2 linked regions of the Elephas maximus indicus genome follow. The protein of the gene in region 2 purifies or fractionates together with the protein of the main gene of each other region. This does not show direct contact. Links are inferred from orthologs where the notes say so. Each region holds a gene or a part of one and is shown on either strand. Other genes may lie near its edges.

Region 1 (7,136 bases), on a different chromosome or scaffold from region 2:
CTGCCCAGATAGTTCAAAATACATAGCCACAGAGGGACTGACAAAGTGGGGAAGACTCAATGCCTGTTTTTGCTGTGAAAATTCCAAGTTGAGAAGATAATCAGGTGTAGGCTTCTCATTACAGTCCTAGTGCCCCCAAGACAACAACCAATGAAAAATGCCTGAACGACAACTGGGGACCTCTGAAGGCAGCTGGTCCTATCAATTCACCTGGTACAGCCCCAGTAGCTCCTGCAGGAGCCCCTCCTCCTGGGGCCCACCAGACTGCTCCTCCAGACGCTGCTCCTCCTGGCTGAGCCCCTCGGCCGTGGGTCTGGGGACGCTCGTGGCCTGAAGCTTCTGAAACAAGCCTCTGCAGCTCTCCCTCTCTGCATGACTCAGCAGGCTCAGGTTCAAGGTGAAGCGCCCAGTGCTGGTCAGGCTGTGCAGGATCCCAAGAATGGCCGCCCGGTCACCTGGCCTCATATGATCAGCCAGTGCCACCAGCAGCTCCCCTAGAAGTCCAAACCCCACATCCATCTGGAAGAGGCGGCCCAGCCTTGGGCCCCCGAGCTGCAGCAGGGCCTGGTAGCGCTCTGGCCCACTCCTCAAGTGTCGCCGCCAATCGCGGTAGAACTCTGCTGAGGTCTCGGGCTGGAAGAGTGTTTTCTCCTAGACCACAAAGGAAGAAGGAAAGGGAGACCAGAGCTCTTCCAGCTGCTCTGGGACAGTGAGGGCAGCCTGTGGGTTTTCGTCTTAGCTCTGGTACTGCTCTTTGAGCACTGCGAAGGCTGCAGTCCTGTGGGTCTCATTTTCAGATCAACTAAGCCATGACTTGAGATTCTCAGTTGTACCAGGGTAGTCTCTCTGATGAATGGGGACATATAGCCCTGGTCTACGAGAATAAGTCAGAGTTTACTCTGAGCAGGGTGAAGGGGATGATTGGAACTCAAGGTGAGTGTCAAGGATCTGACAGGCTGGGTCTCCCTTCAACACTGCCACAGAATCATTACACTATATACACCACAAGTCGGAGATGGAGAGACCCAAACCTGCTCTGGGAATGAAAGTCGAAGGGCTGGCTGAAGGGGGCCTGCCCAGCACATCTTTCTGACTTGATCTGCCCAGTTCAACTTGGCCTCAGCATTCACTGGCTGCTTTGCTTTCTGGGATCAGAGTCAGAAACCTGCCTCTGGTCGCTTAACATGAAAACAACAACAGTAAAAACAACTAAAAAAAAACGTGTTTGATTACATAGGTATATAAATACGCATAAATATGTACAGAAAGGCATATATGAGTAACTGTAGGCATATATGTGTATATATACATGTTCATGTGTGATGCATATATTTTCAAGTATAAAATAAAGCACATAGTAGATTGGACCATAAAATAAATAATATCACCTGTGAGTACTGTGTTCCTCAAAATAATCATCTAGATGAAACCAAATGGTTAACATTTGCCCTAGACCAAACATGAGAAGGCTAGGAGGGACAGGGAAGCTAGATTAATGGAAACAGAACAACCAAAATGGAAATAATGAGAATGCTGATATATTGTGAAAAATGTAACCAAACTCACTGAACAGTAAGTACATAAATTGTTAAATGAGAACCAAATTTCCTGTGTACACTTTCACTGAAAATACAATATTTAAAAAAATAATAATTATAAGGCAAAGGTATACGTTGTGAGAAGACAGGTTTGGGAGTTTAGGGCAGAGAACCTGCTGGGGAAAAAGGCTGGGCCTCACCTACCTGGAATATTTCAGTGCCCTCATCCTGGGAGGTGCTTTCCTGAGTAGTGTGACAGTTCCAGGGTGCAGTTCTCTTCCCTCCCATCTTGTCCTTCTGCTCCAGAGGTTTCAAATGTGAAGCAAGGACAATACCCCTGTGGGCAAAGAACAGAGACCGAGGGGGTGGACTTAGTGCTGTTACAAGTGGGTGCAAGGAGGCTGGACTTTGCAGCATACCAGCTGAATCTGTTAGCAGACAGTCATGGACGGAATTGTGTCCCCCCAAAATATGACTTGGAATCTTAACCCCTATACCTGTGAACATAATTCTGTTTGGAAATAGGATTTTCTTTGTCATGTTAATGAGGCTATACCAGTGTAGGGCATGTCCTAAACCTAATCACTTCTGAGTTATAAAAAGAGCAGATTAGACACAGAGGAAAACACATACCAAGGAAAGCAGATACCATGTGAGGATTGCCAAGGAAACAAGGAACACCGGGGCTATCAACAAGGAAGGAATCAACACAGCCCAGACCCTGATTTGGACTTTTAGCCTCCAGAACTGTGAGAAAATAAATGCCTGTTCATTAAAGCCACCTACTTGAGGTATTTGTGTTACAGCAGCACCAGGAAGCTAAGACACAGGTCAAAATGACAATAATAATAATAGTGACAATAGTTGACAGTTTTTGAGCACTTCCTCTCTGTTTAGAGTATTATGTGCAATAACTCATTTAATCGTAACAATTGTTCTTACTTTATAAATGAGGAATTGAGACTCAAAGAGGTTATGTAAACCTGCACAAAAGATCACCCAGCTAACAGGGGGTGAGGCCAGAACTGAAGCCCAGAACTGACTCCAGAGCCCTTCCCTTTATTCACTATAGTCCAGCGTAACAGGGAGCCAACCTGAACTCCTCATAAGATGCCACCCTCTGTTCCACTGCCCGTAACTTGGCAGCATTCTCCCGCTTGTACTTCTCATCAGCAGTAAGTGCAGCCTGCAGCTCTTTCTCCAAAGCCTTGAAGTCGATGATGTCATTCCTTTCCATGACCTGTGCCTGGGAAAGCAAAGGGAATGGACATGAGCATAGGGTCATCGTCAGGGGGGAAGAGGAAGCCTCTGGATTCTTTGCCAGCCCACAAAATGACCCAAAAGCACTCTGGGTATCTCGTTACTTAACTTATCTTGGTGAAGAGGATAGTGATACAGAAATCTAGTTTTTTACTTTACAGAGGGGAGCTGAGTTGCACAGTGGGGACTTGCACAAGACTTGTTGTCACCGAAAACAGAATTTGGAGCCCTGTGTTTTGTTTTCTGCCTCTAAAAATATTTTATTTTTTTTGCTTCCGCTGAGGCTTTTGGATCTCAGAATTTGGTTCCTTTACTTTATAGCAAGTTATTGGGATAAAAGACCTCACACAAAAGCTGAACTATTGTCAGGTACTATAGAGCTCTAGAATAAAATCTAACCCTGCATTAAACGTCTTTAATGGGGAAGGATACTTTTCACCCAAACCAGATGCAATGACTGAGCAGGAAATGAAGAAGTGGCAGAGGAAGGGGGTCAATGATCCCTATCCTCAAATCCCTCTGTTCAGCCCAGGGCTGGAGCACAGGTCCCCATGGACTCGGGCAATCTCTTTAGTCCTGCCACTATACTTCTGTAGCCTCTGCGTTATCTGCAGGCAGGTTATCTATATGGGTTCTAGTCTTTGACATTTATTTGCTGTAAAATCTCTCTTTAACCTCCTGGTGGATTAGGCTAGATTTTGTGGCGGAGTCATCATCAACAGCCTTCGAAAAGCAGGCGGCCCGCATCCAGCCCAATAGTCACCAACGCGGAGAAACCAACCAAGCGCCAACAAGGGCCAGAACTGAATTCCGGCGTCCCGGTTCCTGCTAGTTCTAAATCATCCCCAATAGCTGAACTGAGAGAGAAACTAACCCTTCCGCCTCCCTAATTCAGTCACCGGGAACTTCACCCCAGCAGCCCGGGTCTCGGATCCCTTGCTTTCTTTGGGGATCCCCTGAAACATCAGGGAAAGAGGGCGCTCAGCGCAATCTACTCCTAGCAGCTGTGGTTGCTCAGCAACTGCCACAACAGCCTGCCCACGTGATCTTCTCGAAGGCCCCTTTTCGGGGTGGCTCCGAGGTGCCTGATCAGATTCATGCCTCCTCGGGTCATACTTTCTTTGGGACAGCCGCGCCTTATTTTGGGGACCCACAACTCCATCTCGGGCCTTCCTGTCTCCATGGCTGGCACTCCTCCGAGCCGGTCCTCAGGCGGAGGGTTGTCCTTCGGGGCAGGAACGCCCCCGAGGCGTCTGCGGGGTCCTTCCTGACTGCGGGCGCAGGCGCGGCGCGGCGTGGGACAGAGCGCGGCCTTCGGCGGCAGACTTGGGGCTTCTGGCTGAGCGGGCGCGAGGTGAGCTGGCGCAGGTCAATGGCGTGGGGACGTTGCTCCGGGTGGGATGGGAAATTATAAACGTCATATATGGAAAAGACGTTATATGCTGTCTGTCCCCCTTTCGCTTGGAGAAATTGAGGCCTGGAGCGGAAAGGGGACCGATTCAAAGAACCCTTCTCTCTCTACTCCCCCCCACCCCAATTCTGGGGTTCCCTCCGTATCGTCCGTCCGTAAAATCTCGTAGGTAAGGCTTACGTTCTGTCTGGTTCCCTCTCTTTCTCTTCTATCTGGGTCGCCTTCGCCCCTTCCTTCTTTTGGGACTCTGCGTGATAGCGAGAAGCTACAGTCAGGACTGGCACCAAAAGTCACTAACTGGTTTTGTGCAACTGTTGGCCAGTCAGCTAGCTTCTCTGTGCCTTGGTGGAGTCATTCATTGATTCAGTAAGGATGTATTGTTTTGTTCTAAGCGAACAAAACAGTCCTTGCTAAAATTGTAGTTGGGGTGATGAAGAGAACAGTGAGGGTACCTAACAGTACAGTTAACTACCATTCAAAGACATAAATGTTGATGAAGGTGTAAAGGTCTATATAGAACGTTGCTGTTGTCAATCATCATCGAGTCGATTTCGACTTATAGTGACCCCATGTATGCAAAGTGGAGACCCTGGTGGCGTAGTGGTTAAGTGCTAGGGCTGCTGACCAAAAGGTTGGCAGTTCGAATCCACCAGGCATTCCTTGGAAACTCTATGGGGCAGTTCTACTGTGTCCTATAGGGTCGCTATGAGTCGGAATCAACTGGACGGCAACTGCTCCGTAGGATTTTCAAGGCTGTGACCTCTCAGGAGGAGATCACCAGGCCTGTCTATCATGGTGCCTCCGAGTGGGTTTGAATTGCCAGCCGTTAGGCCAGTAGGGGACAGTTAAACATTTGTGCCACCCAGGAACTCTTCTAAAGGTACTACAGATAATATAAACAAATAAGTCTGGTTGTGTTCCAGTACAGCTTTATTTTTATTTATGTATTGTTTGTTTTATTGTATTTTAGATGAAGGTTAACAGAACAAACTAATGGCTCATCATACAGTTAGTACACACATTGTTGTATGACATTGGTTAACAACCCCATGACATGTCAACACTCTCCTTTCTCAACTCGGTTGTTGTTTTTGTTGTTAGGTGCCGTCGAGTCGGTTCCGACTCATAGCGACCCTATGCACAACAGAACAAAACACTGCCCAGTCCTGAGCCATCCTTATAATCGTTGTTATGCATGAGCTCATTGTTGCAGCCACTGTGTCAGTCCACCTTGTTGAGGGTCTTTCTCTTTTCCGCTGACCCTGTACTTTGCCAAGGATGATGTCCTTCTCCAGGGACTGATCCCTCCTGACAACATCTCCAAAGTATGTAAGAAGACACAGTCTCCATCCTTGCTTCTAAGGAGCATTCTGGTTGTACTTCTTCCAAGACAGGTTTGTTCATTCTTTTGGCAGTCTATGGTATATTCAATATTCTTCGCCACCACCACAATTCAAAGGCATCAGTTCTTTTTCGGTCTTCTTATTCATTGTCCAGCTTTCACATGCATATGATGCAATTGAAAATACCATGGCTTGGGTCAGGCTCACCTTAGTCTTCAAGGTGACATCTTTACTTTTCAACACTTTATAAGGTCTCTTGCAGCAGATTTACCCAACACAATGGGTCGTTTGATTTCTTGACTGCTGCTTCCATGGCTGTTGATTGTGGATCCAAGTAAAATGAAATCCTTGACAACTTCAATCTTTTCTCCATTTATCGTGATGTTGCTCATTGGTCCAGTTGTGAGGATTTTTGTTTTCTTTATGTTGAGGTGCAATCCATACTGAAGACTGTGGTCTTTGATCTGCATTAGTAAGTAATTCAAGTCCTTTTCACCTTCAGCAAGCAAGGTTGTGTCATCTGCCTAACATAGGTTGTTAATGAGTGTTCCTCCAATCCTCATGCCCTGTTTTTCTTGGTATAGTCCAGCTTCTCCAATTATTTGCTCAGCATACAGATTGAATAGATATGGTGAAAGGATACAACCCTGATGCACACCTTTCCCGACTTTAAACCAATCGTTATCCCCTTGTTCTGTCCAAACAACTCCCTCTTGATCTATGTAAAGGTTCCTCATGAACACAATTAAGTGTTCTGGAATTCCCGTTCTTGGCAACGTTATCCGTAATTTGTTATGGTCCACACAATCGAATCCCTTTGCATAGTCAATAAAACACAGGTAAACATCATTCTGGTATTCTCTGCTTTCAGCCAGGATCCATCTGACATCAACAATGATATCCCTGTCCTCTTCTGAAACCCGCCTGAATATCTGGCAGTTCCCTGTCGATATACTGCTGCAGCCATTTTTGAATGATCTTCAGCAAATTTTGCTTGTGCATGATATTAATGATATTGTTCTATAATTTCTGCATTTGGTTGGATCACCTTTCTTGGGAATAGGAATAAATATGAATCTTTTCCAGTCAGTTGGCCAGGAAGCTGTCTTCCATATTTCTTGGCATAAGTGAGTGAGCACCTCCAGTGCTGCATCTGTTTGTTGAAACATCTCAATTGATATTCATCAGAATCAGAGGTTGATTTTGATTATAACGAATTGGGCAGAGAGTCCAAAAATCTTGATGAGGACTTCTTCCTTCAGTACCATCAGTTCCTGATCATATGCTACTTCTTGAAATGGTTGAACATTGAGTAATTCTTTTCGGTATAATGACTCTATGTATTCCTTCCATCTTCTTTTGATGCTTCCTGTGTCATTTAATATTTTCTCAACCCTGGGTTCCCTATTACTAGCTACAGCTTTATTTTTAGACACTGATATTGTTGAATTTTATGTAATTAATTTTCCTGTGTTGTGAAATGTTAAAAAAATTTTTTTTCCAATTATTTAAAAACGTAAAAAGCATTGTCTTTTACAAAGACAGGCAGTGGGCCAGGTTTGGCCTGTGTGTCATGGTTTTCTG
Region 2 (7,211 bases):
TTGTGGCCACTTGTCTTGTGACAACCCTTTTTTCACCTGAGAAATTGTCACCTGGGTTCCTATAGAATGGAACTTGAAGGCCTTTAGAGTTTTATCTCCAAAGGTAATTTATGCGAGTTACAGCTAGCATTTAACATTTTGTAAAATTATTATACCTTGCTTTCTGTCTAGAGAAATTATATATCCTTGCTACTCTGCAATTTATGGAGCCCTGGTGGCACAGTGGTTAAGAGCTTGGCTGCTAACCAAAAGGCTGGCCGTTCAAATCCACCAACTGCTCCCTGGAAATCCTATGGGGCAGTTCTACTCTGTCTTGTTAGGGTCGCTGAGTCAGAACTGACTCAATGCCAACGGGGTTTTTTTTTTTTTGCTACATATATGTATAAAGTCAGCATCCAAGTACCCCTGACAAGAAATGGAAAGATTTAATTAGATGTTACCACTGTCAATTGTCTGTGTTATAAAAACAGGGACCAGGTCACCCCTCTGACTTTTGACATAAAAAACCTCACCCGAAGAGGTTTGGATTGAAGGGGGTAAGTAATGTCTCAGTATTATTTATTAATACTATAAAAAATAGGATGTAAAAGAGACTTGTTAAAAAAAAACAAACTTTGTTTTTTACTGCTGGAATGTCCAATTCACTCTTTTATTAAAGACTAGTAAAAAAAAGGGAGTCTCCCTTGATTTTTGGCAAATTCTCTCAAATCTCATTATCCTGTATATGTCCTTGCCCTGTGAAAGTAATTTAATACCTAGGAACCCATAGAAATACGTACATGATGTGGCCAGCAGGTTCAGTTTATCTCTGTCTTGGAAAGAGGAGGAGGGACGGTGAGACCACTTTGCAGCTGGTTGTCATATTTTTAAAACATATTTTTCTGGTTATAAAAATAATACATACTCATAGCCAAGTATCCGGAAAATACTATAAAGTATAAAGAAAAGATAAAAATCACCCATATTCCCATCATTCATAAACACTTATTGTTAACATTTTTAGTGAATTTCCTTTGCATATATTTTTTTACATGACTGAGCTCACCCTGTATATACAAATTTATTTTTTTTAAACATGACCCAAGAATGCAATGTCCTTGTGATTCTTTGCCAATATGAATTCTTTTAGTTTGTTGATTATTGATGAATAGTAACTCCCTTCTCCCATTCCTTATTTCTCATTCTTTTTCCTTTCATCATTTTAAAATATACTATAAATAAAAAAAAAATACATATATGATTTTTACTATTTTGTATATATAAAAGAATACATGGAACTTATGTGTAAGTTATAAAACATAATAATATAATGAATATTCATGGATCCTTCTGCCAACCCAAGAACTAAAATTTTGTCAATGATTTGTATTACAATCTACATTCTCTTCTCTTATCTCATGCCCCTTTCTCCCCCAACTATTGTTTAACCTAATAAAGAAATGCAAATTATACAACTGAATTTTTTTTTAATTCATCAAATTGATTTTTCACTGCTGCTAATAAAAAAGAGAAGAACACGCTCGGCATTTCTCAAGCTGAAATAACTGAAGAAAAAATTCAAGCCTTGAGTTGCAGTATGGGGAAAGTATCAAAAGACGTGGGAAGCATCGAAAGAAGATGGAAAGAATATAGAGTCATTATACCAAAAAGAATTGGTTGACATTCAACCATTTCAAGAGGTAGCATATGATCAGGAACCAGTGTACTGAAGGAAGGCGTCCAAGCTGCACTGAAGGCATTGGCAAAAAACAAGGCTCCAGGAACTGATGGAATATCAACTGAGATGTTTCAACAAACAGATGCAGCACTGGAACTGCTCACTTGTCTATGCCATGAAATTTGGAAGACAGCTATCTGGCCAACCAACTAGTAGAGATCCATATTTATGCCTATTCCTAAGAAAGGTGATCCAGCCGAAGGGGAAAATTATCAAACAATGTCATTAATGTCACACGCAAACAAAATTTTTGCTGAAGATCATTCAAAAGAGGCTGCAGCAGTATACTGACAGGGAACTGCCAGAAATTCAGGCCAGATTCAGAAGAGAATATGGAACCAGGGATATCATTGCTGATGTCAGATGGATGCTGGCTGAAAGAATAGAATAACCAGAATGATGTTTATCTGTTTCATTGACTATGCAAAGGCATTTGACTGTGTGGGTCATAACAAATTATGGATAACATTGTGAAAAATGGGAATTCCAGAACACTAATTTGAACCTGTACATAGATCAAGCAGCAGTTGTTCGACAGAACAAGGGGATACCACATGGTTTAAAGTCAGGAAAGGTGTGTGTTAGGGTTGTGTCCTTTCACCATACCTATTCAATCTGTATGCTGAGCAAATAATCCGAGAAGGTGTACAATATGAAGAACAGGGCATCAAGATTGGAAGAAGACTCATTAACCACCTGTGTTATGCAGATGACACAACCTTGCTTGTTCAAAGTGAAGAGGACTTGAAGCACTTACTGATGAAGATCAAAGACTACAGCCTTTAGTATGGATTACACCTCAACATAAACAACCCACCCCCCACAACTGGACCAATAAGCCACATCATGATAAATGGAGAAAATACGTAAGTTGTCAAGGATTTCATTTTACTTGTATCCACAATCAACACCCATAGAAACGGCAGTCAAGAAATCAAAAGACTCATTGCATTGGGCAAATCTGCTGCAAAGGACCTTTTTACAGTGTTGAAAATCAAAGATGTCACCTTGAAGACTAAGGTGCACCTGACCTAAGCCATGGTATTTTCAATCGCATCATATACATGCAAAAGCTGGACAATGAGTAAGAAAGACCAAAGAACTGACAGCTTTGAATTGTGGTGTTGGAGAATATTGAATATACCATGGCCTGTCAAAAGAATGAACAAATCTATCTTGGAAGAAGTACCAGAATGCTCCTTAGAAGCACGGATGGCAAGACTGCATCTTACATACTTTGGACATGTTGTCAGCAGGGATCAGACACTGGAAAGGACATCATGCTTGGTAAACTACAGGGTCAGCGGAAAAGAGGAAGACCCTCGACAAGACGGATTGACACAGTGGCTACAACAATGGGCTCAAGCATAACATCGATTGTGAGCATGGCGCAGGACCTGGCACGAGTCAGAACCGACTTGATGGCACCTAACAACAACCAAAACAAAAATGCACTTTTTCTGTTACTAATGCTTTTCTAAATATGAGTTGTGAATCGATCACACGTCAAGGTACACTCTTTCCTTTTTGATGGCTCTAACCTCCATCGTTGTTTTCCTAAGCTGCTTCCTGGACCACACTTCCCTTTGAGATCTGTTCTTTTTCAACTCTGAAGTCCTAGGCAAATGTGAGAGTTTATGATATTATATTGATGCATAGGAAAAAAAGGCGGCGGTACTCTCATTGACTAAAATTCCTAATGTAGGAAGGATGTTTAAAATTTAGAGACGCATTTTATAGTGTTTACTGCTGACGGTCAGTGGTTTTCTAAGAACCCATAAAGTTAAGTCAGGGGGGCAACGGTCCTGCTGTGCAACTTAAAAACCGTGAGACCTTAAACAATTTATACATGTTCTCCCTAGTTTTTCTCTCATTTCTTAATTAGGATTAGCAACAACTTTACTTACTGGGCTATTTATGAGATTCAATAATGTTTGGGTACTTTATGTTGTAAACAAAACCCTTACACAAATGATAGGCAATTACCAAAGGAAAAAAATGACTTTGAATTACAGCGCGAAGGATGAGGCTGTTTTGACTATCTCCATAACTAAGCATTGCAAGTACAGACATGCTAAAGAACACTTCTCTGGCTCTGACACACCTTCCGGTGAATTTGGAAAAAGGGGATTGAAGACCTGCTGAAGTTTCTCCCAGCCCCGAAACCGTAATTTACCGTACAGTGTCTGTTCTAAACTGTCCTCGTGAAAGCCACGTTCTCCAAGGCAAAATTACACACTTAAGGGCGCTAGGGCTCACCCGGTTCCCGTCTGAGTCAACAAGTAAGCCACATCAGCCTCCAGCCCTAGCTCCTCCCATACCCACAATTCACCTTGCTTTTCCAGCTAGATGGCTGTTCTGTCACGTGTCACCCACGGAGCGCGCTCCCGTTTTGCGCCTGCGCAGAGAGCAGCTCCAGCTGTTTTTCTCCGTGGCGGCGGCGGCGGCGAGCGGAAGTTCTTAGGAGCGCCAGTTCCGTCTGTGTGTTCGAGTGGGTAAAATGGCGAAGATTGCAAAGACTCACGAAGGTAGGGATCTTCCTCTGCTTAAGTGTCTTCTCTGTTGCCCAGGCTGCTAAGACTCTGTCTTCTTAGGTTTTTGCCTCTTCCTGTGTGTTTTTTTCGTTGGGGTCCTAGCCCGTGCTTCGAGGCCTGCGTCGTCGCCTTGGCGCCAGCGGCGCAGGCCACTGCCCCATGTAATGGCGTCTTACTCATACACCCCCGACAGGCGCTTTGTTCCGTGCTTGGGTACTGTTGCTTCCCTTCTCCGACCAGAGGGCCTTGTTTAAACTGCTTGCTAAAGAGGATTCCAGCGCAAGGGGTTGGGGAAACGGGTGTGGGAGGAAAGTCTCAGTCGTTTCTGGGAACTGTTGTCGGAATAGTTTGTACATAAGAAAGTCAGAAAGGCACTGAAATACGGCAACTGCTTTTCGGCAGCACTATATCGGGTTTGGTTGAACAGAGGCCCACTACTCCCAACCTTGAGTAATATGTGTCTTCAGGTGTCTGGGTTACTTGTTTTTGTTGCACGACATGATTTGGGTGTAAAATTTTTCTCAGTCACTTTTAGCATAGTAGTGCTGTTTTTCTTTGGAGCTGGCTATTGGAGAAGCAGGTAGAAGGAGGTGAGGGCACATTAATGTTATCGATGCTCGAAGCGTTCAAACTAGTTGATCGTTTTATGGAATACAGAGCACATTATACGAAATTTACGGACATGTTGGGAATAGGCTGAAGTCTACTAAGGAGTATTAAGAGCGGGCCCAGAGGTGATAGGAAATGGGGGTCCCTTTTCAGAAAAGATGAAGCGTGGTAAGTTAGAACTGCATTCCTTGATATCTGATGTGAAATCCAAAATCTTCACTGAACACAATTCCAAGAGAAAGAGTTACTTTTATTTCACGTACCATCCATGTTCTTTATGTGTGGCTCGGTGTTATTCTGTGAGGGGTAACAAAGAATGCCGAAACCAAAACTAGACACACTGCAGCCTAGTCAATTTCGAGTCATAGCCACTCCATAGGATTTCCAAGACTGTAATCTTTAGGGAAGCAGACTGCCACCGTTTTTCTCCCGCGTAGTGGTTGCTGGTTTGAACCATCAGCCTTTCGGTTAGCAGACCAAAGAATATAAGGTCACAGATTTTATTCTTTAACGGCGGAAATAGATGTATATACATTCTCTTAGGCCAAACGAGTGCTTAGATAGAAGTAAAAGCAGTATGTTTCAGGAGTCTTCGGAACGGAGTGATTAATTTATATTTAGGGTTATTTCACAGAGGCGATGACATGTCCCTGGTCGGAAAAGATCAATCAGTTTTCAACTAGGGGAGAATATCTGAGCCTGAGAGAGCATTTTGTAACAAGGTAGTGTGAGCTGTGAAAGTTAACGGCGTGTTTGAGCAGTCTGCTGTGGCAGGAAAAGAGGGTGCAAACAGGGAAATAGTAGAAGATGAATCTGGGAAGGTAGGTTGGGACTAGAGTGTGGATAGAATGGTTGGGCCAACCCGAGGTCCAGGTCTCTGCAATTTAAGAGGCTTGCTAATGAATTGTCAATGACTTTATTATTATTTTTGTTGGGTGTATAGGATTTAAACACTGCCTTAATCCAGACGTGTCCTTAAGTACTTTTCCTCTTGGTTTTAGAGTATATCAAACATAGCTTTTGTTAAATAATTAGAAAATGTAAATATGTTGCCATTCTTATTCATGCAGGAGTAGATTATTCCCTTGGCCCATTTTGTGGCTTTGATGAGTTGTTTATTGGTATCGTCATCATAAGAGAACCTTTGACAGGAACATCAATAAAGTCCTAACTTTTTCCCGCATTTTAGAAACCCAGCTAAAAGCGTTGGTTGATAGAAGATTGCAATTTATTGGTCAGAATTACTATTTGGGGTTATTCTATCAATGTGAATTAACTGATGACACAAAGAATGTGTTAGAACATTCAGTGTACAAGGCCCTGCCCATCTCTGTGCAGTATAAAAAATGAAGATGGACCTCCTGCTGTCAAGGAGCTTATATAATAGGGGAAACATCTGCATATGATTAAAAGAAGACCAAAAAAAAAAAAAACGCAAAACCATTGCTGTGGAGTCGATTCAGACTCATAGAGACCCTATAGGACAGAGTAGAACGGCCTCATAGAGTTTCCAAAGAGTGGCTGGTGGATTCAAACTGCTCACCAAAAGCTGAGATCTTAACCACTGAACCACCAGGGCTCCTGAAAGAAGACAGAGTGATAAATACTTAATAGAAATACCCGCCCCCCCCAAAAAAACACACCAAACCCGTTGCCATCCAGTTGATTGCAGCTCATAGCCACCCTATAGGATGGAGTAGAACTGCCCCATAGGGTTTTCAGGAAGTACCTGGTGGATTCGAACTGCCAGCCTTTTGGTTAGCAGCCAAACTTTTAACCACCGTGCCACCAGGGTTTCCAACTTTTACTTAGGATATTGTATTAAGGCTTTCTCTTCCACTTGATTGAAGTAGTTTCATATAGGAACTGTACCTTGGTATGTCCAGTACCTAGTACCTAATGGGTGCTCACGTATTTAATCAATATTTATTAAGAGATTAATTTATACTGGACTTAATTAAGAGAGCTTTATAGAAAGGGTGCACTTAAACTGACCTTTGAAGGAATTAGGTAGGTTTGGACATGTTTGGCTGAGATAGATGCAGGACTTATTCATTATTGGGAACCTCCTGAACTGAGAGGAAGAAATGTTAGGTTAGCATCAGCTTATGGAAGGCTTGAAACAGGGTGGTAAGTTTGAGCTTGGCTTCCAAATGTCTGCAGAATAAAGTGCCTGTCTTCCTTCCCCTAGGTGGTCAAAACAATTAACCGGCTCAGTTGCTAACTGAAAGGTTGGAAGTTTGAGTGCACCCAGAGGTGTCTAGGAGGAAAGGGCTGGTGATCTACTGCTCAAAAATGAGCCATTGAAAACCTGATGGAACACAGTTCTACTCTGACGCATATGAGATTGC

Evidence for each region.
Region 1: the proteins of SF3B1 (region 2) and EFTUD2 purify together in Homo sapiens (affinity purification with mass spectrometry; 4 studies listed by BioGRID and IntAct, with this or other methods). This does not show direct contact. The link is inferred for Elephas maximus indicus from reciprocal best matches to the Homo sapiens genes SF3B1 and EFTUD2.

What each region holds. Positions count from the first base shown.
Region 1 is NC_064837.1:51,315,591-51,322,726, reverse strand, and holds the start of EFTUD2 (116 kDa U5 small nuclear ribonucleoprotein component), read left to right. Parts: upstream 1-4,029; 5' UTR 4,030-4,152; intron 4,153-4,265; exon of another isoform or gene 4,266-4,378; intron 4,379-7,136. Other genes in the region: CCDC103 (coiled-coil domain-containing protein 103), read right to left, coding at 202-651, 1,743-1,875, 2,633-2,775. UniProt on the Homo sapiens protein: Required for pre-mRNA splicing as component of the spliceosome, including pre-catalytic, catalytic and post-catalytic spliceosomal complexes. Component of the U5 snRNP and the U4/U6-U5 tri-snRNP complex, a building block of the spliceosome.
Region 2 is NC_064824.1:95,769,791-95,777,001, reverse strand, and holds the start of SF3B1 (splicing factor 3B subunit 1), read left to right. Parts: upstream 1-4,138; 5' UTR 4,139-4,217; coding exon 4,218-4,245; intron 4,246-7,211. UniProt on the Homo sapiens protein: Component of the 17S U2 SnRNP complex of the spliceosome, a large ribonucleoprotein complex that removes introns from transcribed pre-mRNAs.